2 linked regions of the Arabidopsis thaliana genome follow. The protein of the gene in region 2 interacts with the protein of the main gene of each other region in a biochemical or structural test. Each region holds a gene or a part of one and is shown on either strand. Other genes may lie near its edges. The genes, in order: GH9A1 and CEV1.

Region 1 (10,401 bases), about 19 Mb from region 2:
AAACTACTGGAATGTAAAAAAAGCGCAAAAGAGTGGAATAAAATATCAATGATAACTCTTCTAAATAAGTCGAGGATGCAAGATAGTCGTTCGGATAAATGCTCTTGTTATCGAAAATTGTTGGATGAGTGTTACAAATAAGAATTCAACCCCTATTCATATCAAAATGAATCCGAAACGAATGGTAAGAAGAATTCAATCAAATGGTAATTCAGAATGAAAATCTAAAGTAAACTAAATGATCAAAATTAAATAAGGATGACTTAATACGTGTAATCCATAATGATCAAATTGATTGGGGAATATTAATGAATATAATCATAGTTGGTCCTTCAAAAAAAAAATCCAAAAATTCACCTCAAGCCTCCAAAGTTCCAAACCCATGTAGATGTCTCTCAACAAACCCAACCCACGAAACAAAAAGATAAAAATCTCAAAGCCCGACCCAATTTATTCGATAAGACAAGAAAACAAGTGTTATTATTTCTTCTGCTTTCTCAATTATGGTCTCTGTCCAAAAAGATTATACTATAGTAATAGTTTTGTGAAGCTTTTTTTAATAGCATAGCAATTCGTAGAAGAAAGAACAACCAAATGTCAAAAATCTTGTTTTAAAAACCAATTAGTTTCACGTCACAGCTCACACATAATAAAACAAAACTCCATTTTTTTTTTATAACGTGAAAAACAAAACAAAACAAAACAAAGGAAGAGAATTTGCGCGACAACAACGATCGATCAGTCGTCGTCTTCTCAGATCTTGTTCTTCAAAGGATTCTATGCCGCAAGAGCTTCGATTGTATCCTCTCTGAGGATTGGGTAATACCCAATACCATGGATAACAATAGCGAGCGCAAAGGAAAACGAATCGATAAGGATAATATTCGTGTCAAGCGGAAAACTTTGCAAGCTTTGCTCAATGATTGCCAGAGAGCCCTCGAGTTATTAAACTTAGCCGAAGTCAGTTCTGAAGACGATGAAGATGATAAAAGCACCGGCGAGGGAAGTGGGTCACAAGAGAGCAGGGGAGAAGTTTCTTCTTCCGATCGAGAAGATCCTGAAGCTGATGAAGTAAGTATATGCATCTCTCTGAAGAGGAATTGTGAGGAAAATTTGCTTCAAGCTTTAAAGTTCGGAACTTTTTGTTTATCAAATAAGTGTGCGTTGAATTTTGGTGAATGTGTATACATCAACATTTTATAATGATGCGTCATATGTTTGTAATGATACAATAATGTCATGACTTTCTTCTTCCTTGTTTCAGTTATATGATCTCATCAAATCCAGGGTTGAATGTGATGACTTCCTTGAAAAGATTGAGTCAGCCCAGGTTTCAGCGCCGCAACATCTTGCTGGTGAGGACTATAATGTTTTTTTTAAGCCTGTTTGCTCATTGGTTGTATAGATGATTGTGATTTCTGGTGTTTTAGAAGATAGTAGCTCTTGGGATGTAGTTAGTGAAGATGATCTTTGGGATGATGAAACCATGGCTCAAAGGGAAGAAGATTATGTCCTTGTTAGAGAAGAAGATATAGCAGAGGGCATTGCATGTTTCATGGCTACTTATTTACAATCACTTAAGCAGACAAAGGTATCTAAAGTCTTAACTTTCGTTATAATTTGTTCATTGTATATCAGCCTTTCATTTGAGTTTATACAAGTTGCCATCATTGTGCAGGACTTGACTCCTGAGCAGCTTCAGAAAGGTATTCTCGACTCTTCTGTCAACCTTCAAATGCTGTGTATCTCAATGATAAGTAGACATAATAGTTGGCTGTAACATAATAGCCACGTCACTGTTGCTAACACTCAAATTCAGAACAGATAGATCTTTAGAGGAAATACGGCATTGGACAGACTGGTAAAGGGCATTGATTGTTCTTGGGAATCGGTTTTGGGGTTTGAGAGGGCATAGGAAAGTAGGGGAGGCTCAAGGATTCATCCATAGATTATTCTGTGGTTAGATATGTGTTCTACAATTCAGTAAGAAATAGAGTTTACCGGTTCCAATCTTAAAACTCAACTAGGAAGCTTGTTATTGCGCTGACACAAACAAAGACCATTAAGTCGCCAAGTTATTTTCTTTGATGTTGATTATGTGTGAAGTTGATCAGTGGTGGCATATCAGATTAGTAGTAAAACTGTAACATTAGTGTTTGAATTGTAATGTAGCACTTAGCAGGATGTTCTCAGTGAAGAATAGAAAGGGGAAACTTCGGAAAGCCTGGGATGGAAGTAAGGTTGCTTACAACGTAGCGTCATGGAGCGCAACTGTTATAGGGTATAATATCATCTAGTCATCTTCTACATTGCAAAATCTAATAGTCCCATTGTTTATCGTTCTCACCAAGCATTTTTATTTTGTTCATTTCACCGACAGGATCTATCAAAACCCCGTGATCCTGAGGGTTGCATCAAAGGCCTTTTGGGCGTCATGTCATGTAATATCGAAGCTCGTTTGATTGACGATGACGCCTTCTCGAACACATCTCGCCTGTGTACTGTGATAACAGTTTAATTTGGGTTTCTCCATGATCTCTGTGAATACAACTTCATCATGTATAAAGAATGCCATATGTAATTCCGTTCTTTACTGCAATATTCTTTCTGCATCATCGTTTATATCCATTAAATGAGTAAATGCATGCTAGAATCACGTATTTTAGTAGACTACAGTTGTTATTCCAGGTTGATCTCACACTTGCACAATAAAACATAGTTAAAAGTTTAATACAGTTCATTAAATTGTTTATCAAAGAATACAAGTTTGGTATCAAACATATACAGAGTAAAACGCATAGATATATATGATATCTCACAAGAACAAAACAGCAACCCAAAAAAAGAAAAGAAAGACAATGCTTGTGGTAAAGTAACCCACCCCGTGTTTGTATCTAGTAAAGCCAAATGAAATCCTTAGTAGTTTGGTTATGGCTGACTTGTGTTTAGCTTCTAATCTTCTGGTCTCACACCCAAATCCTTCTTACCTCATTCATTTTTTTTGGCAGCAGCGACAGAATCACACAAGTCTAGCTTTCTCAAGGTTTCCATGGTGCTGGTGGAGGTGGTGGAGTAGGGAACAAAGGAGGAACAGCTGAGAAAATAGTGTTTTTGTCTATCTTACCGGTGGCTTCTTCTTCACCCGATAATGCCACAAGAGCTGCGACTAGACCAGCATTGCCTGCAAGAGTCGGTTCAGTGTAGTTGTAGTTCATACGGACATCACGGTACCCGTCGCGCTTGTCAGGACCAGCAACCATGGCTCCTTCAATCGTGTTTGGGTTTGGTTTCTTGCTGTCTCTCCATTTCCATCCTCCTTTGCAGTTATACTTGACTTTGTTCTTGGGTATCGAAGCTCCTCTGTGATGCACATGTCTTGGGTATTTTGTGCCAAAACCAACGACATAACTCATTTTCCGAGGGTTTTTACCCAGTATATAATCAATCTGCCAAAATACAGCAAGGCCGAGTTAAATCCAATTTAGATGTCAAAATAAAAAATGGAGTTTAAAAAGATCTTCGTACAATCTTGGTTAAAAGTGTCATTTTTGGATCTTATCCATTACTATATCTGAGATTACCATTTCTGTAAAGAGTAAAGGAAAAGAAGCAATACCTGGGATCTAGCAAAGTCACGTAGCACACTTGTCGAATAGAAATTAGGTCCACAGTACCATCCAGGAGTATCAGCAGCATCCAGATAATCACTGTATAGAGTCGCTAAGAAAGCTGCATTTACAGAATATTGCAGCGGCTGTGGAGCTCCATGATTCAACTCTATTAAACCTCCTGCACATACCAAAGATTTCATTTTAGATATCTGAAACAAGAACAAGCCCCACAGTTGGAGTTTTATTAGAGGCAGACATTAAAGCTGGAAGGTAACTAACCATTGGTTCTGTTAAATTTGTTGAAAATAGGCAAGTATGAGCACATGACTATGCTGGTCTGATTGTGGAAGGTCCTTAGAATTTCTTCATATGGATATCCAGGACTCAGAAACAACCTCAACCGGCTCAACAGCAACTAAAATCGCAAAAGGGATTCAAAAGAGTCAAGAGTAGTATGGTTAAGGCAAATGATCAAGAAGACATGAATATCTAAGAAACATAAACACAGCAGGTTGTTATGTGTGGACTGACCTGAGCACCAGCAAGCTTGTTGTCCCAGCTAAATACACCATAGTAAGGGCCACCCCAGAAGGCACCAGCATGCTTGGCCATAGTAGGTTGGGTGATTAGATTGAGATACGTTACATTTCCGGTAGCATAATACATCCAAGCACCACCCCAAATGAACTCATCCCAATACATACTTGAATTATAGAACTTGCTAGATTCCGCAGTGCCTGCACTATATCTCCCTCTCCTCGTCCTTCCAAACTGATACACCACCTTAGCACCATGGACAAGCTTTTTAGAATATTCCTTGTTATCCTTGAATACAATAGATGCTGAAGCCAGAGCAGCTGCCATCTCTGCAGCGAGATCCGAACATCCACCATTACAAGTAGTCACGGGCCTTTTATAGTCCATATCCTCAGGTCGCATCCAACAGTAATGGTCATTAGGATCTGTATTTCCATCATCAGTATTCCCTGATCCAACCTACATTAAACATGTAACGAGTGAACAAACAACTCAATATGAAAGATCTCCTACGAAGGTCATAAACAAGTACCTGTGACACAAGATCATCAATGGAATCAGCAGTACTATTGAAAGTCTTGAGAAAGTAATCAGTTCCCCATTTGATAAGCTCCTTAACATGAGTGAGCTCACCAGCAGCTTCGTATTTAGCACTATATTCAATAACACTCCAGCTCAACATAGTCATAGCATAAGCCATGGGGAAATTGAACTTGATAGCATCACCAGCATCATAATAACCTCCCACCAAATCTTTATAGAAGCTTCCTGTTTCACCTTTCCCATCTTGAAGCCCAGAATTACCTCTCCATGACACGTTATTATGCTTTGGCAATTTCCCAGCTACAACAATCAAAATCAGACTTAGATCTAAAACTCTATATCTAAATTTTATCAGATCTAAGTAGATTCTACACTTACATTTCTGAGCATTGAAGAACTTAAGAGCTTTGTGTAGAGCTATAGTATAATTATCCGGCGGCGGAGTCTTAGGATGATGACGCGGCACAGTTTTAACGATCAAGGTAATGAATCCGGCGAGTAACGCGGCGGCAACAAGAGTACCAACAGTCCAGACGAAGATCTTGCGGCTAACGATAATACAACCGAGATCGACGTACTTCTTCTTCTTCTGCTCCGTTGGACCAAGTAACCAACTCTGCTGCGTCTCATCTAGTGGACGTGAAAGAGCCGCACGATCCAAATCGTTTAAATTCCGACTACGATCATCGTCGGTGGCGGAATCTGCAGTGTTTATCTCCAATGGACCTCCCCATGGATCTCTTCCGTACATGATGATGCTCTCTGATAAAGCAGCAGAGAACAACAACAATGAATCAAAGGTTTGGGATCAGATCTGGAGAAGAGAAGAGAAGAGAGAAAGAAGTAAAAGTGTGTGGAAGTGAAGAAATGTGAAGCTAAAAAGCTCTCTCTAGTCAATAATGTACAAAGACTCTTTGAGAGATCTGGTTTTGGTTTTTTACTCTTTTTTTTTTTTCCTTTTTAAAACTCACTTCAATTATTTTGTTATTATATGTTTTGTTTGGTTTATTTGTACATGTTACGTTACAGCTAACTCTAATTTTGGAATAGTATATTTTTGGCCAACTATGATTGAGCGTTTTGGCCAACTTGTAATCTTGTGTATTTATTTTTCATACAATTAAAATTTGTCGGAGACATTAAAATATTATTTTTTATGCACCGTTTTTTCTAACAAAAAATTGCATATACTTTGTTTACTAGTAAAGCAATGGGCTAATGTCGGGTGGATGGAAAAAGACATCTCCGCTAATAAACTGTCGGTGGGATGATAATTTTATTTTATCCTTTATGATTATGGTGTTTTACACGTCATCATTTCTGGTGGGCTCTAAGTAATGACATAATTTTTAAAAAAAAATTATAACAAGGAAGGTTACTTAAATTCTACTTCTACTTGAAAATGATAGTCTACCACAAAATTTCACTTACATTTGTTAAAATTTAAAACTTATAAGATAAGTGTGTCCGACAAATTGATGGTAGATCAATGACCTAAAAAAAAATTACATCTTGTGGTCATTTTTACGACTCTAATCCCTCACAGAGTAAGTAAGGAGAATTATGAGAATCTAACTTTTAATTTGAAATTAAATACATTCGTAATTATAGAATCTAATCCCTCATATATATATGAATATATCTCTACTTTAAAAAATTCCGAAAATATATGGGCAGCTATGTAATTATAGGACTTATCAGCTTGCATTTAATTAATATTAAATGTCCAATGTAGAAACACCAACAAGTGTAGAACTAGAAACCATAGATGCTCATACATTTGATTTCTACTTTATACATCGAAAACTGAAAGATAAACATACACATATCAACCATAGCTGTTTCCATAGTACATACTGACAGAGATTACCTAAAATATATGCATCAATTTGTCTTCGAATTTCCTTCCATAATGTTCTTTGGCCTTGAAAGCATCGTTAGAGATCGAAACTGTGGCTGTTGAAGTGGAAAAGAGGATGATTCGCCGATCGCCAGATGCTATGTGACCGTATTTCTTTGGCTACGGTCGTCTGAAGAGTCGCTGGACCGCATACTATCACTCCAACATCCACACTCCCCCATTTCCCATTCAATGACTCAAATATCTCTGCAATTACAAAATAAAAATATTACATGAACCAATCAAAGATTTAACTTAACCGAATCGAGCCAAATATCTACACCAAAAGTCGGATTCAAGAACCGAACGAAACCGTGTCAAACCGTTCCGAATGATTTCAGTTTCTATAATTTTATAAATAAAAAAACGAGATAACTGGACTTGACACCGCTAATTTTGTAGTGTATACCTCTAAAGGCCGGTCTGGTGCCATAACGAATAGTGGTGTAATTCTGGACATCTTCTTCTATTGCCAAGCCCTTAAGCTCTGCTGCAGATGGATTATGGGTTTCTTCTCCATTCAAATCTACCTTGTCGTTGCCATTTGCTTCCACTTCACCGGTTTTGTGTTCCCAGCGATGCCAGAAAACAACCACAAGACCTCCAAAAATCAAGACACTTGCAACCATACAACCAACAAATAGAAGTCCCTTGTACCACCACGTTGTTATGTTGTATCTTTTTATGTAAAAGATGTCCAACAATGTGATCATTGAAATAAATCCAATGGTGGATATAATTAGATAGAGTCCAGACCATATGTTATCCCCTGTACCAACTAGTACCGACATAGAACATCCGTTGGTCCGTGGTAGCTTGACAGAAGGATGCACCACCTTGTGAACCATCCCATCTTCCTGTATAACCATGAAACATTAAAGAGTTCAACAAGCTTAGTAAGGCCTATTGCAGCTCCCAAAAGACTTATTTAAGACGTACCAAGCGAGGCTCGGATTGTCGAGTGATATATATGTGAATCTCAAGGTTTAGTTTCTTAGAGAAGAAAGGGCAAATGGAAGGTATGTCAATTGCTGAGAGCAGAGAGAGCTCGTCTGAGTTTTTAATGGCCCATACAACTAAAACCTTACTAGGTAAACAAGCTTTCCCATCTCTTTTACGGTGTAGGATATCGCTTAAGATGGCGAAAAAAGGCGTAATCCCGATTCCTCCTGCTACTAAGACCAGGTTCTCATACCTGCACCCGCAATAAATCTTTCTTGAGTTAAGCTAAAGCTTATGGCATTGAAAAAATTTCAAGTAGACGAAATGCATTACGCTAAATGGTATGGAGATTCATGGCCATAAGGTCCCTCCACACAAGTTGTGATTTTAGGATATGACTGAGGAGAAATGAGCTGATCTTGGTTCTCTGCCTCGTATAGATTTGACAACTGGTCTCTAAGCTTTGCAGTCCATCCACCAAGAACCTTTATGAGAACCGCAACATGATGGTTCCCATCTAGAGGGCTTGAAGAAACACTAAATGGATGCCATTGTAGCCAAGATAGTTCCCTCACTTGAAGAAAGATAAAGCTAAGCGCATTGTATCGCATATCTGATTTTTGCGGTATTGAAGAAGAAAAAAGTCAGTAAATGTTTTAGATTAGAGGTAGAAAACAGAGAATAAACAGAGTTGTTACTTGGTGGTTTTGAAAGGACTAGTTCAAGAGTTCCACAAGGTAAACTCTTTGCAGAGATTACATCAACAGTCCTTCTTGATTGGCAGAACCTCAAGAAGCGGTCTAGAATGAAAAGAAATATTCCTCCAGCAACTATACTAAACATGTAATCACCAACATGAAGTGCCAAGAACACAATAAAGACGATGTATAGTTGATGTGTGTAGAAGAAGAGCTCAAAGTAATTCTTTCTCACGGTGTGAAGCGATGTGACCCACATCAGTAAACCCGCCACTAGACTGATAACTCCGGGTAAGATAGCAATTCCGATAGCATTCCATGAAAATATCTGAGAGGAGTAAGTAGTTGATGATGATGAAACTTTACAATAGAAAATAAGAAGATAAAATTGTGACTTATAGAGTATAGACCTATCTTGAACCGATGATCGACACTATACTATAGTAGATAAACTAGGCTATACTATTATGTCAAGATTCAATGATGTTGTAGGATCTTACAAGCTCTAAAAGTTGACCTTGAATGATCCATCCAACAACATAACAGAGGCCATGTAAGGAGAAGAAAGCCATGGTGATATGACCAAGCCAAACATGATATCTTGTAGCATGTTCAAAAGGGATATCGATAAGACGGAGAAGAATGGAACCTCTCGAGATTGGAAGAAACAAAAAAACCATACACAACAATCCAATCATTCCTAAACGCAGACCCGTTACCTCCAACAGAAGAATACTGAAAATACACACACACAAAACTAATGATTGGAATGAGAAGGAAAAAGACAAAGATGGGAAAAAAAAAGGAAGAGTTTTAAGAACCTTCGATTCTTGGGAAGGACGTGGAAGCGTTCAAGAAGGTCAAGATTCCTCAAGGTATAAGCATAGATAGACCAAAGGAAAAAAACAGAGAAGACCATAATTCCAAGAAACTCAGCTGCAGAAACAACTCCAAATGGTCCATCCACAAGAACAGGGAATGTCCATAGCCTAAACCTCGGGAATTTCGATATCTTCTTCCTTCACAATCATCATGACACACACATTTATGCAAGAACAAAAATTGATACAACCAAAAGAATGCAATTGGGGATATTATTACACGTACTTAGTGAAGACCTTGTCTTCCCCGGAGATAATGAGATAGAGAGAAGCTAAGACAGAGATGACAAGAATCGGACAACTGAAAATCAAGAACATGGTTCCTGCAAATTTAGACAATTAAAGGATGAAATTAGTTACACTTTTTGGACATGTTTCCGTAGAAAGCAAAGCATCTGCTCGTTAATGTAACCTGTGGTGCCTAGGAAAGTCTTGGAGGAGACAAATGTGAGGAAATCATCACCGAGTTGTTCAGGGTACATCATCATAAGAAAAACAACCCAAGTCACAAAAATCATAGACATTACAACTTTCAATATCCATTTCAAAGATGAAGTAATCACAGATGATGATGATGATGAGTCCTTGGACAAAAGAGGGGTTTCATAATCATCCATCTTTATTTGAATTTCCACTTCTCAGTGTTGTGATGAGAAGTTGGCTCAGAAGCAGCATCGGCTTTTAAGGTGGCGTTACTAGAGATAAACTAATAAGATATTCTTAGAAGAGTCAAGTAAAATTTTCTGGACCATTGAGGTTTCTATCATTCTCATTTATGAAAGATTCCTTCGGACAACAATCCTAGTACACAATAAAAAAAACTATAAAAAAAAATGAGAGTGTCATTAACACGTGAGAGTAACGTACTTGGGAGAGAGTGTCACGTTAGGTTGATTTCAACCACAATTAAGGGTAAGGTGAGAGACTGAGAGTACTTACTACTTTAGTATAGATAAGATGGTTATTATGACGACTATGATGGTTATTGGATAAGCTTACATTACCTGAATCTGAACATATAGAATTTCAACATCATTCGGATTAGCTCGAAAGAAACATTATTCGGTTTCCGCGTTCAAGATCCAGCAGAGAGATAAATTTGCAAAGTTTCACTGTTAGATTGTTTCTGGTAAATGACACTATCTAACAATGTGTTACGTTAAACAAGAATAATCGACTATCATGAAGTTGTATCAATCTCGAACACACAAGTTATAATCAGTCCAAGGAAAAACTTAGATGTATATAGTCAAAAAAATTCTTCATTACACTTTTAAGTAACCGAAACA
Region 2 (12,796 bases):
GGTTTTGGTTTCAGCCGATTTAGCATCAGACGAACAAGCCCTTCTCAACTTTGCAGCATCAGTCCCACATCCACCAAAACTCAACTGGAACAAGAACCTCTCTCTCTGCTCTTCATGGATCGGCATTACTTGTGATGAATCCAACCCCACCAGCCGCGTTGTAGCTGTCCGTCTTCCAGGAGTTGGCCTCTACGGCTCAATCCCTCCTGCCACATTAGGCAAACTAGACGCTCTCAAAGTCCTTAGCCTCAGATCCAACTCTCTCTTTGGAACTTTACCTTCTGATATTCTCTCACTCCCTTCTCTTGAATACCTTTATCTCCAACACAACAACTTCTCCGGCGAACTCACCACTAATTCTTTGCCGTCGATCTCCAAGCAGCTTGTTGTCTTGGACTTGTCTTATAACTCTTTATCTGGTAACATTCCTTCCGGTCTCCGGAACTTGTCTCAGATCACTGTATTGTACCTTCAAAACAACTCTTTTGATGGTCCCATTGATTCTCTTGATCTCCCGAGTGTAAAAGTTGTAAATTTGAGCTATAACAACTTAAGTGGACCCATCCCTGAGCATCTCAAGAAGTCACCGGAATATTCTTTCATCGGAAACTCATTACTATGTGGTCCACCTCTGAATGCATGTTCCGGAGGAGCCATCTCTCCGTCTTCAAATTTGCCTAGACCGTTGACAGAGAATCTCCATCCTGTCCGGAGGAGACAGAGTAAAGCTTATATAATCGCCATTGTAGTCGGATGCTCTGTGGCCGTTCTTTTCCTTGGGATTGTTTTCTTGGTTTGTCTGGTGAAGAAGACGAAGAAAGAAGAAGGAGGCGGTGAAGGAGTGCGAACGCAGATGGGGGGAGTGAATAGCAAGAAACCGCAGGATTTCGGGAGCGGAGTTCAAGATCCAGAGAAGAACAAGCTCTTCTTCTTCGAAAGATGCAATCATAATTTCGATCTTGAGGATCTCTTGAAAGCTTCTGCTGAAGTTCTTGGTAAAGGGAGTTTCGGAACGGCCTACAAGGCCGTGCTTGAGGACACAACCGCAGTGGTGGTGAAACGTTTAAGAGAAGTCGTGGCGAGCAAGAAAGAGTTTGAACAGCAAATGGAGATAGTTGGGAAGATTAACCAGCATTCTAATTTCGTACCACTCCTCGCTTATTACTATTCGAAAGACGAGAAGCTATTGGTCTACAAGTACATGACGAAAGGAAGCTTGTTCGGGATCATGCACGGTGAGTCATAAAGAGACCAAACCCTAACTTTTTTGGTAATGTAAAGCTTGTGTGTGGGTCACGAAAAATTGTTCCTTTTTGGATTTTTTGGACAGGAAACAGAGGAGACAGAGGAGTCGACTGGGAAACGCGGATGAAGATCGCGACAGGGACTTCAAAAGCAATCTCTTACCTTCACTCCTTAAAATTCGTTCACGGAGACATCAAATCATCAAACATACTTCTCACTGAAGACCTTGAGCCATGTCTGTCCGACACATCTTTAGTCACTCTCTTCAACCTTCCAACTCACACACCGCGAACCATTGGCTACAATGCTCCTGAAGTTATTGAGACGAGGAGAGTCAGTCAAAGATCAGACGTTTATAGCTTTGGTGTGGTGATTCTCGAAATGCTAACCGGGAAGACACCTTTAACTCAGCCTGGTCTCGAGGATGAGCGTGTCGTCATTGATCTTCCGAGATGGGTTCGGTCTGTTGTGAGAGAAGAGTGGACTGCAGAGGTTTTCGATGTGGAGCTCTTGAAGTTTCAGAACATTGAAGAGGAGATGGTTCAGATGCTTCAGCTAGCGTTGGCCTGTGTTGCAAGGAATCCAGAATCGAGGCCAAAGATGGAAGAGGTCGCGAGGATGATTGAAGATGTGAGGAGATTGGATCAGTCTCAGCAGTTACAGCAAAACAGAACATCCTCAGAGGCTACTTCCAATGTCTCTGAATGATTCCTCATTCCGACCAAAAGTTTCTTTGATCAATTCTACTTCTATCTTATTACTTTTGAATCCCAGTTAAAAATAATTTCTCTTTGCATCGTAGTTTAGTGCTTATGATCAAACGTAACTGCTTTCACTAATGAAAATTGAAAAATCATAACCACTGCTTTAACTACAGAAACAAAAAAATATTCGCTTTCACTTTAATTATAACTTTCCAAAGTAACTAGAGTAAGATATATTCTACACATAAATTTATGACACCAAGACAGAAGAACGAACAGACAGATACACACAACAAAAGTAAAAAAGTGAACAAATAAAACAATGAAAAATAATTTAAATTCTGTGTTTTTTTTAACCCTCAAAACAGGTAAATATTTGCTCGCTTCTCAACAGTTGATTCCACATTCCAGAATGTCCGGGCCAGTGACTCGGCTAGTGAAGGGATCAATCCTAACCCACAACAACGAGAAGATAGAAGCCAAGAGAACAGACCAGACCACAACAATGGTAGGAGTCCGGTTCTGTCGACCCATCAAACCCTTGAGGAAAGGGTACAAGTGAACAATCACCCAGAAGGCAAAGAACAACTTACCAAAGAGTGGTCCCCATGATTGGTATCCACTGTTGATAGCATAAGAGACTCCTGCAACAACTCCCACTAAGTTTACAATGAGCAGCGTCGTTGGCGGAATCAGAAGTGTTGTCCATTTGAACAAGTAGAGCTCAGCAAAGTCTCCGTCTTCATCTGAAGCTTTTGAGGTAACTGTGAAGTTTGTGTCAATACCGGCAAGGACTTTGAGGATACCTTGAAACACAGCGAATAAATGAGCGGATACTCCACCAATGACCCAAAACTGCTCGTTTCTCCACCATTCGTCTATGCCTACGCCACTCCACCTCATTTCTAGTATACCCGTGGCGAAAATGGAGAGAAAGAGAGACAGAAACCATATACTTGCAATGTTACTAATCTGCAAAAGAGGAACAATAGAACCAGCTGATCAGGATTTGGAACCGTAAATAGATGACAAACACAACATGGTTTCAGTTAAACAGAACGTAATTAAGGTTTGTTCTAGAGATAGAGATAGAGATAGAGATAGATAGACAGAGAGAGGTGTCAAACCTGAGGAATAATAAACTGGTTGGTGAAGAGACAAACGGCTGGCAATGTACAATACATGAGAAGAGGAATGGAGGTGATAGGGTAGATGGTGGTGTTCACATACGCAAACCTCTCAAGAAATTTTAGCCTCCCATTGTAACCATACCATATAGGACAATGCCGACTGAAGAGAATCTCAACTGAACCTAAAGCCCACCTCAGCACTTGGTTCAGACGATCTGAAAGATTGATAGGAGCAGAACCCTTGAAAGCTGGAAGCTTAGGCATGCAGTAAATGGATCGCCATCCACGGGCATGCATTTTGAACCCAGTCAGAATATCTTCTGTCACAGAACCATAGATCCATCCAATCTGAAGAAAGACAGCGGAAAATATAAACAAAGTGAATGCCAAAGTGGATATGTCAGAACAATGCAGATTCATGTAGGAGTTCAAATGAGATTATACCTCCATTCCCCAATCTGACTTATCCTCATAACCACAACTAATGACATGGATAGCCTCTTTGAGAAGGTTTTCTGGAGTTGCTGAAGGAGGAACACCACCATTTTCCATTAGGGTAGAAGCAACAAAAACAGCAGACTGTCCAAATCGCTTCTCCAGGCTCATTTGCGACATTAAGAGCGCCTTTTCATCATCAAAACCAGCACCTAAGTTTCACAAATGCCAAATAGTTAAGACATGATGAGATACCTAGTATGGAAACTATTTAGACAACTGTCAACTATAAATAATCCCCTCCCCTGGATCAATATTTCAAACAGCAACATATGGGTATAACGGAAACCAAAGAAGAAATAAAAACAGTTGTACCTTCAACTCCCTCTTCTATGTCATCGAGGTTGAATACAGGAACAGTTGAGTCAGTATGCCTGCCTGATTTCTTTTTGTCCGACTCTTTCTTAGCTTTGGAATTCTTCTTTCTTGATCCACCACAGAGCTTAGATAAAAGACTTGGCTTCTTGTGTTTTACTTTTATTGGAGGTTCATAACCGTATAATGCTGTTCTGTTGAAAACACATCCAGTTCCGACATATACAGGTCCTTGAATCCCATCTAAACCTCTCAAGTTAATCTGGAAAACATATCATGGAAAAATTACGACAAACTCAAGAAACTGTGAGTTTAATGTATATTCGTGTCTAAAAGCAATTTGAAAGAACAAGAAAATTAGACGCAAGTATAGGTAAGTGTGACTTACATCAAAGAACACGGTATTACGATTAGCATATCTATCGTTCTTATCGATACCATCAAATCTTTGTGGGAACTGAACATAACAAACTTGCTTCCCGAGGTTTGGGTCCATCAGGAAGCACATTGCTTCTCTTAAGGCTTTGCTGTTATTTATGTAATGATCACAATCAAGATTCAAGATGAAAGGTCCATTGGTAAGAACTGCTGAAACTCTCACCTATTCATTTGAAAAGTACCCAGATTAGACTAACAAATTGGTCAGAATGAAGAAGTCAAAAATCCAAGATCAGAAACTTACCAGTGCATTCATAGCACCAGCCTTTTTGTGGTGCTGGAATCCTGGTCGCTTTTCTCGAGAAACATATACCAAACGCGGGAGCTCATTGCCCTCTGCATCAAGTCCACCATTTTGCCCTAAGAAGACCTGCATTCAGCAAATGGTACTTCAATAATGAACTTCTAGAGAGAAAGAGAGAGCATTCTCGATTCCATAGTTAAAACCAATTTCTTACCTGGATCATTCCTGGATGGTCCCTTGTATTATTTCCAGGCCACGGTGTGCCATCTTGCATAACCCACCCTTCTTCAGGACATTTTAGGGCTTTGGAAACAAGTGCATTGATTCGGATTTTAAATTCCTCATATTCCCTCTGAAAGAAAATAAAAGGTCAATATAGCATACACTAAAATCAAAGTGAGGGTGACTAGATGACTAAAACTACAAACTTACCTTCATAGCTCTACGATCTTTGACAAATGATGTCTGAACTTTATCCTTCAAGTAATCTATTTTCGCAGCAAAGTACCATTCTGGTGCACGAGGCTCTATGCTATATTTCTTGCAAAATGGTACCCATTTACGAGCAAACTCTGATGTTTCTGCAAGTGATTCAAATGATAACATAGCAGCACCATCATCAGAAACATAACAGGACACCTTGTCAACTGGGTAGTCAACAGCCAGAATAGAGAGCACTGTGTTGGCTGTCACAAGGGGTGGCTCCTTCAAGGGGTCAACAGTACTCACGAAAATGTCAACAGCAGCTAACTGTGATGGCTCACCTTCACGATCATATCTGTCCCAAAAATTGACCATGATCAAATTAAAATGGGAAACAGTATAGGCAAACAATCCTTTGAGTAATTGCTTCAGAAGAATGGGGAAATAGAACTTACCTTAAAGCAAGCCTGTCGAGGTAGGTTTCACGGTTCACAGGAAACCACTTGGGAAACTGATCCAAAATCCAGGATAAGGCAAACCAGATCTCACATATCACAGAGACCAGCCATAGAGCAAAGGCATTTGGCACTGGGTTTGTTATACGGTAATGCAAGAAGAGACAAAGGATAACAAGCCGCAGCATAATAACCATTCTGTAAGGATTGATCCGTGATGAAGGAATTGAAACTTTCCTTGACAGAGGCTGCCTCGCTTCGTCATTCCTGTACAATAAATAAAGAATTGGAAAATGAGTATCAGGACATTGCTTAATAGGAAAAACGCTCGGTACACCACGACAGAACAAACAAGATTACAAAACAAGAACTCACAGCAGAGCCTCATCTGCTAGGATATCTGTGCTGGCATCAATATCTACTCCACCTCTTTCAGAAGCAGCCTGCGTGCTGACAGGACCAGTATTCTTCTCTTGCTTCATTTTCCAGCCATCAACTCTCTCCTTCCAAGCTACATTCCCGAGTCCAACAGGATCCACAATCCTTCTATTTGCTGCAGCGTGAATGACAACAACAGATTTTATTGTTTAGAGTTTTGACATAAAAGAGAAGCCTAGGTACAAATATATGTGTTGGCGAGAGAGTTAGAAATAAAGGATATTTACGTGATTGATTGACATCTGATGAATAGGGAAGGCGCTTTCCCCCAGCGATAGTAGAAGATACAGAGAGGCGTTCAGGTGAGGCAGCAGAAAACTCTCCTGAAGTCTGTAAATAAGCAAATGACAAAATCAGATTCCAAAACTAAATTGCGTGAGGATGCGAATGCTTAAGAGGGAAGAATGAACAGCAATGCCTTACATCTTGTCTGCTCGTGAGACGAGGAAGATGATTGTGAGAGACCTCTTTATCATACTGGGGTTCCCCCATTTCCTCTCCCTTCCCACGAGTAAGATGCCAACCAAGCATCCGCTCTGAAATTTTCTCCTTCTGAGGGTAGTTGAACTCAACAGTACCTTCATCAGCTAAGCCATCCTCGTCTTTATCACCAGGAATAGCAGGACTACCTAGAATCAGAAATTAGCAAATTGCTATAAATACCAATCTGATCCAAAATTCAAAACATACTGATAAACTATCGATGAACAATGAAGACAGTATACTTCAGAAGGATCAAAAGAGAACCTTTGAGCCTCTTGTATCTGGTTTTGCACTGAGGACAAGATTGATTCCCATCTTTCCTCTCATACTCGTAGCAAGGCCGACAAACTGGGAATGAACAAATATCACAAGCCACAAAACGATCTCCATCAACAGTCTTGCCAACATTGTCACTACAGATCTGGCAAGTCTGCGGAACAATGTTCTTCATCGGCTTTCCCTACAAATCAAGTCGAATCAATGAAGCCAAAATTAGAAACCTCAACAGAAAATTTGAAATCAGATCTCTCCAATACACAATTCAACACCCAAATCAATCAATTTCAGTACATATAATTCCTGATTTCGATAAAGGTAAGTATAATGATGAAGCAAGAGTCAAAAAAGCATACCGCGGTTTCTCCTTCGGATTCCATTTGTCACTTAGTTGCTTCCAACACCGAAACGTCGGAATAGTTCAAATCTGATCGGAATTATCAAAAACAGAAACTACGATTAGATCTGAGGAGATCCGAGTAAAGGAAGTCAAATCTGAGAATGGATCATGAGTGTAAGAAGAGTTAAAAGCTTTACCATGAGATCTGAAGATGGAGTGTGGTGATGTGACTCTCTGAATCTCTCTCAATCTGGATCCAAGCTTTCTTCTCTACAGAGAGATAGTTTATAAGGAAGACGAAGAGGAGAATCTTGGGATGGCTAAGAAGATGCAAAGAGCAAGCTATTTGTCTCCTCTACTCGTCACTCTTCCAGATTTTTAAAATATTAATATATTTGTCACAAATCATAATCCAACCAAGCAACAACCACCACCACCACCGACAACTTCCACAGTCGATTTTTTTCTAGTTACAGTTTTACAGTGGCTGTAAAAAAAGTGAAAAAACGGCCGATAAACCTTTAAAATATCCTTAGAAATATATTATCATCGAATTAGTGACTAAATCAAAATAGTAATTGATATTTGATAGTGATATAACTAAAATAGAAGTGTGAAGAACACAACAAATCACAAGTAGTGGGGTAAAGGATATTCATCGTCACTAACTTTCTTACAGATAAAACTTAAAAAGTATTTGCCGACAAAAATAAAACTTCAAAATATTAATTAATCAACGGATTAGTCCAATGAATAAATCAAAATATATTGATAGTGATGCTTTACTTACTAGTATATCAAAATAGGCTAAAACCAGCGGGCTGAAAAAATAAAGGTCCAACTCTAGTATCATCAAGCCCAACAGAATCGAGAAAATGGGTTTGTTGGACTTTGCAGACAAAATTGGTATATGTTCGGTTTACGTTATTTACGAGAGAAAATTGAATCGAACCGAACCCAATAATTAATAGGTCAAACTTTGATAACTGGTGGTGCATGTGGAGATGTGTGGCCACTAGTGCAGCAAAGAACAGACTGTCAGATAGACAAAAGAAGAAAATGGCAAACATTTGAATCCCAAAGAGCGCCACTTTCTCTTCGCTATCCGACAAATCTTCCCTCCTCTTTGTCGTCCCTTTAAACCTTTCCACCTTCTGCTTCGTAACTCTCGTACCCTAGCAATCCTCTACTTAAACCTTCCTTTGTTTCTCCTTCACTTTTCCTGTAAATCTGCTCTTTTGTTCCCTCGATCATATCAATTTTCAAGGTCAGTGAAATCTCATGTTTATTTGGTCCTATGTGAATCAGATTTCAGGGTTTGATATTTGTTTGTTCCGTTGATGTGTTTTGTAGATCTTATGATCTGAGTTACTTGCTCTGTTTTTCTGAGATTTATGGAGGGTCTTTGTCTATGTTTCTTCACCGTTGCAAATGAGTTATAATTTCTGTTTACATGTAGTGAAAAAAGTTCAGTTCTGTGACATAAGAAAGTCTTAAAATTTACGCAACCCTAGTTTTTTTATTTTCTAAGATTTCAATTAAAGAACATTAGCTTGTCTCTTCATGATAGTTTTCCACTGATTATTATCACAACTTTTTTTTTTGTTAGATATTTTTAATCGAAATTATTGTAGAGATAAATATAAATACGTTTTTTTTTTTTTTGGTCAAAAAATATAAATACGTTTAGTTATAGCTAAATCTTAGGAGTATAAAAAAAAAAAAAGTAAATAAAAATCTTACCAGTTTTTATATCTCGTATATCTTCTGTATTTTTAGGGTTTTTCTGTTACATCATTCTATGTTTACGTTTCTTTGATTTTTTTTTGCTTGATCATTTTTAAGTTGATTCGCTTTTTGTTGTTTAAGTGTAATGGATTTTACAACAGTTGAGGTCCCAGATGAGTGGCCACATAATTCGAATTCCTTTGTGGACATCTCAACAGGTATAACCGTATAATTCATTCATGTCTTATTTTGGTTGTGTGCGTTTCCGTTCAAACGTAGAAATCTTATTAGACATATCAATTGTCAAGTTTCAGATCACAATGGATCTTCACCTCCTGTAACTCCAAAGTCTGATACAGTAGCTTCCAACTTTGACCAAGGAAGTTCTGATGTTTCTGGCAATCATGATTCTAACTCTTCTTATTCCGATTTAGATTCGGACACGGAGGCCTTTTACTCATCTTTTAACCATCACCTCGTATCACCAGGGTCAATGGATAGCCATGACTTATCCCCGGAGAAACAAATGAGTTATGAAGAATTGATGAAGAAATATGTCCAGTGTGAAGAAGAGCTTAGGACTACGAGTTTGAAACTTCAAGAATTTGAGCAAGAGATTGAGAAACTAAAGGAGACCGAGAAAAAAGAATCGGTTGTTCTGTTTGGCGAGTATCTACGTGGTGAGCGAGAAATCGCACAAGGAGAAATTGCGATTAGGGACATAGCTATTGAGACTGAGAGAAAGCGAGTTCTCGAGGTGCAAAGACAGGTGGTTGATTTGGAAACTGAGCTTTCAGACTTAAGTTTCAAATTTGAGCATCTAGTGAATGAGCATGAGGTGAGTAGGGACTGTTTAGATGTGTCATTTTCTGAAATCTCTAAGCTAAGGGAAATGTTGTGTGATTGTCAGCAAAATTTCTCTATTGAGAAAACAAAACTGGTAGATCAGATAAAGCATTCTGAGGCAGAGAAAATGGAGATGCAGAGGAAAGAGGTTGAGTTGCAAGCTGAAATCAGTGCATTGAAGACAGACTTGGCCACACGTGGTGAGCATATTGAAGCATTAAACAAAGATTTCGACAAGCACAAGCTGAGGTACGACATGTTAATGGCAGAGAAAGACGGAGTATGTGCTGAAGTAGACAATCTAAAAGCAGAGATGAGATCAAGAGACATCCAAATTCAGCAAATGGAGGAGCAACTTAACCAGCTGGTCTATAAGCAGACAGAGCTTGTGTCTGAATCAGGAAATGCCAAGAACACTGTTGAGGAACTGAAAGCTGTGGTTAAAGAACTGGAGATTGAAGTAGAGCTGCAGAGTAAGGCCAAGAAAACTGTGGAGGAACTGAGAGCTACGGTCTGGGAAATGGAGAAGCATGCAGAGTTGCAGAGGAATGCGATATCACAAGGAGAGGAAGAGAAACGAGAGGCGATTAGACAGCTTTGTTTCTCTCTGGATCATTACAAAAGCGGATATAAACAGCTTTTGTGGTATCTTTCGGGCAATAACCAGCAACATCAAACAACCATGGTCGTGTGAGTTTCGATTGAATACTCTTATCATTTCTTTAGTCGTTACAGTCTTATGTCTTTCTTTGTCTCGTCATGTTTTTTTATGTTATTCTGAGTTATGTTCTCTCTCAAACTCTTGGACATTAATCTTAAGATTTCTTTAGTAAGAAGCGCAATTTATATGAAATTCTAGCTTCTTTTTTTTTTTGTGCACCTATATGAAATTCTAGCTTGGAAATGCTTTTATATATGTGGCTTTAATTTTGTGTGATTTTATAAAAGTATTTTTGAACTTAGGGTATCTACAGGTGTTTCTGTCTGGAGTTTTTATTTGTGCTTATGTAATAGTGACGTAAAGCCTAAGTAATTAAAAGTGAGAGAGAAAAAGTCAAAAGCCAAACACAAACCTAATCCTCCAATATCTCAACTTGGTTGACTCTCTCAATACAAGGATTGGAGTTAATGTGAAATACTAAGGACTCAATTATTATGGTCCTTGATTTATGATTTTTGTTCAGAAAAATTTAGTGAACACAAAAACAAATTCTTCTCGCCCAAACCAGTGAAGAAATATGAAATCTAAAATTTAAAACTAAATCTGAACCAGAGAAGTAATATTCCCAAAATCAAAGTTGAACGAGTCTGATTTCTATACTGCGTCTATGTATATGCTCCCAGTTCCATTTCTATTTGTGTTGAAACTTTTAAGTATTGGTCAAACAATTTTTGTTTTTTTTTGGGTTTTAACAATTTATAATAAGATCTGACTATCTCAGGATTGGTCATGTTCAACAAGACTTAGTTTCATCTAATCCACATAAAGTAAATAAAAAAAAATCTCAAGTTATAGTTTGATATTATAGGTCTATTACGTAAACTTTCCTCCATATGTAACGATATATGATCGACCGCGTAAAGATGCACGCGCATGCAAATATTTTAATTTGATTGTTTTAGTTTATGCTTTCATGGTAGTATTAAAGTTGTAAATGTGATTGCATGTGTGAGTGTGTGAAAGGACTTTGCAAGACCGCTGGCTACGAACTTTATTAGTTAGATACAACAAATTTATCAATTATCAATCTTAAAAGATAGCTAAAGAAAACGTTACTATGGGCCCTTTTTCTTTCTTTAATTCTTTCATATGGAATCTATTATTAATTAAAGACATGTATTAAAGAATTTCAGGTGTAAAAGAATAGTTTTTTGCTTTGAGGTGTCTATCTTTATTTATAATCGGAAATTTTCAAGTAAAAAGAAATAGACTCTCCAAAGCATAGGTAGAATAATTGAATATTCTTATCAATTAAATCGTCTATAGTAGCCAATTATGATTGCAATCGTTGTGCGAATATAACCAGCATGGTATATATCACAAGTTTTTAGTTAGTGAATTTTTTAGTTATTTCAAGAGCTTGTTCTGTAGAATAAACCAAAAACTAAAAGAAAATCCATTCTATTCAATACCATAACTTCATGTGTTCACGAAACATCATGGGAACACAGTAAATAGAAAAACAAAATCAATTTATAACTATATATGAATGTTGTCAAATGGGAGTTGACCTCCAATATTATCTTTTATACATTTGAAACTTTAATTTTGACTTTTTTTTAGTAAGATAGTTTTTGTTCATGTCCTGAATGTTAGGTAACAGCTAGCGATTTGAAATAGAAATAAACATTTACAAACCATGTAGTGGTCCAAACCATTGACTCAATTAAAGAGTCAACGCATAATCGAATTTGTAATCTGTGAAGAAGAAGACTCGAATGGTATTGAACTTGATTTGATTTGATTCGTTTTGTGAATCGTATCCCGTTAGTCATTGGATTGTGCAGAGAAAACAAATATTGAAGCAACCTCTAATTAAGTCTACAAAGAAATAGGACACCACAACAAAGGTTGACTTTTACAGAATCACAAAGCCAAAACGATAATCTAGAAAGTAGAGAAACTAGACAGCACAAAACGATAAAAGACCGAGTCTGTCGACCATTACCTTAGTTTTTTTTCATATCGTTAAAAAATAATGTGATATACATGTACGTTAATACTTAATATATACTATTTGACTTGAGATAGCCCTACAAAACTTTTATTCATTTATTTCTCACAAGTTCCCTAAAACTTTATGAACCAATTTGAAGATTAATATTTTGTTACGTTGCTATCAATTTCAAATTCTTTGTAGGTGCTATATTTGAAAACTGGTTTCATACCTAAAAAGGTTATGAACCAAAGACTCAACTTGTCTGGTTATAAATAAAAGTGATTGAAAACACTCACACGGCTAGTGAATTCTCATTAGAAAAATGAAAAGTTCGTTAAATTCGACCAGTGATATAAATATATATACGAAAAACATATGATCATTATGCTTTTTGTCAGGTCCTAGAAATAAATATGTGGAACCCAATTCATTTCAACATTCACGGTAATTTAATTTCCCTTGGCAACATTTAGTCATTTACCGGAATATTCAAACTTCGAATGTTAGGAAATATTTAAGAAGGTAATGGTAAAAAGTAAGAAAAAAAGGACTGGGATCAATAAATGAGAAAAATGG

What was found.
Region 1: the proteins of CEV1 (region 2) and GH9A1 form a complex in vitro, tested with the Arabidopsis thaliana proteins (one study listed by BioGRID).

The regions. Positions count from the first base shown.
Region 1 is NC_003076.8:20,194,727-20,205,127, forward strand, and holds GH9A1 (glycosyl hydrolase 9A1), read right to left. Parts: upstream 5,743-10,401; 5' UTR 5,443-5,742; coding exon 5,070-5,442; intron 4,992-5,069; coding exon 4,681-4,991; intron 4,608-4,680; coding exon 4,143-4,607; intron 4,027-4,142; coding exon 3,891-4,026; intron 3,790-3,890; coding exon 3,617-3,789; intron 3,447-3,616; coding exon 3,039-3,446; 3' UTR 2,665-3,038; downstream 1-2,664. Other genes in the region: AT5G49710 (RING finger protein), read left to right, coding at 835-1,071, 1,265-1,355, 1,431-1,591, 1,679-1,706, 2,173-2,281, 2,381-2,462; FRO6 (ferric reduction oxidase 6), read right to left, coding at 6,629-6,798, 7,001-7,448, 7,531-7,786, 7,867-8,146, 8,232-8,559, 8,732-8,966, 9,053-9,250, 9,339-9,435 and 1 more. UniProt on the Arabidopsis thaliana protein: Required for cellulose microfibril formation. Involved in cell wall assembly during cell elongation and cell plate maturation in cytokinesis. Required for secondary cell wall formation in the developing xylem.
Region 2 is NC_003076.8:1,528,065-1,540,860, forward strand, and holds CEV1 (Cellulose synthase family protein), read right to left. Parts: upstream 7,495-12,796; 5' UTR 7,184-7,494; intron 7,074-7,183; 5' UTR 7,027-7,073; coding exon 7,003-7,026; intron 6,831-7,002; coding exon 6,635-6,830; intron 6,517-6,634; coding exon 6,311-6,516; intron 6,218-6,310; coding exon 6,115-6,217; intron 6,003-6,114; coding exon 5,825-6,002; intron 5,717-5,824; coding exon 5,450-5,716; intron 5,350-5,449; coding exon 5,004-5,349; intron 4,924-5,003; coding exon 4,786-4,923; intron 4,698-4,785; coding exon 4,572-4,697; intron 4,491-4,571; coding exon 4,278-4,490; intron 4,152-4,277; coding exon 3,890-4,151; intron 3,727-3,889; coding exon 3,524-3,726; intron 3,428-3,523; coding exon 3,077-3,427; intron 2,922-3,076; coding exon 2,337-2,921; 3' UTR 2,068-2,336; downstream 1-2,067. Other genes in the region: RUL1 (Leucine-rich repeat protein kinase family protein), read left to right, coding at 1-1,235, 1,331-1,953; AT5G05180 (myosin heavy chain, striated protein), read left to right, coding at 8,860-8,932, 9,029-10,254. UniProt on the Arabidopsis thaliana protein: Catalytic subunit of cellulose synthase terminal complexes ('rosettes'), required for beta-1,4-glucan microfibril crystallization, a major mechanism of the cell wall formation. Involved in the primary cell wall formation, especially in roots.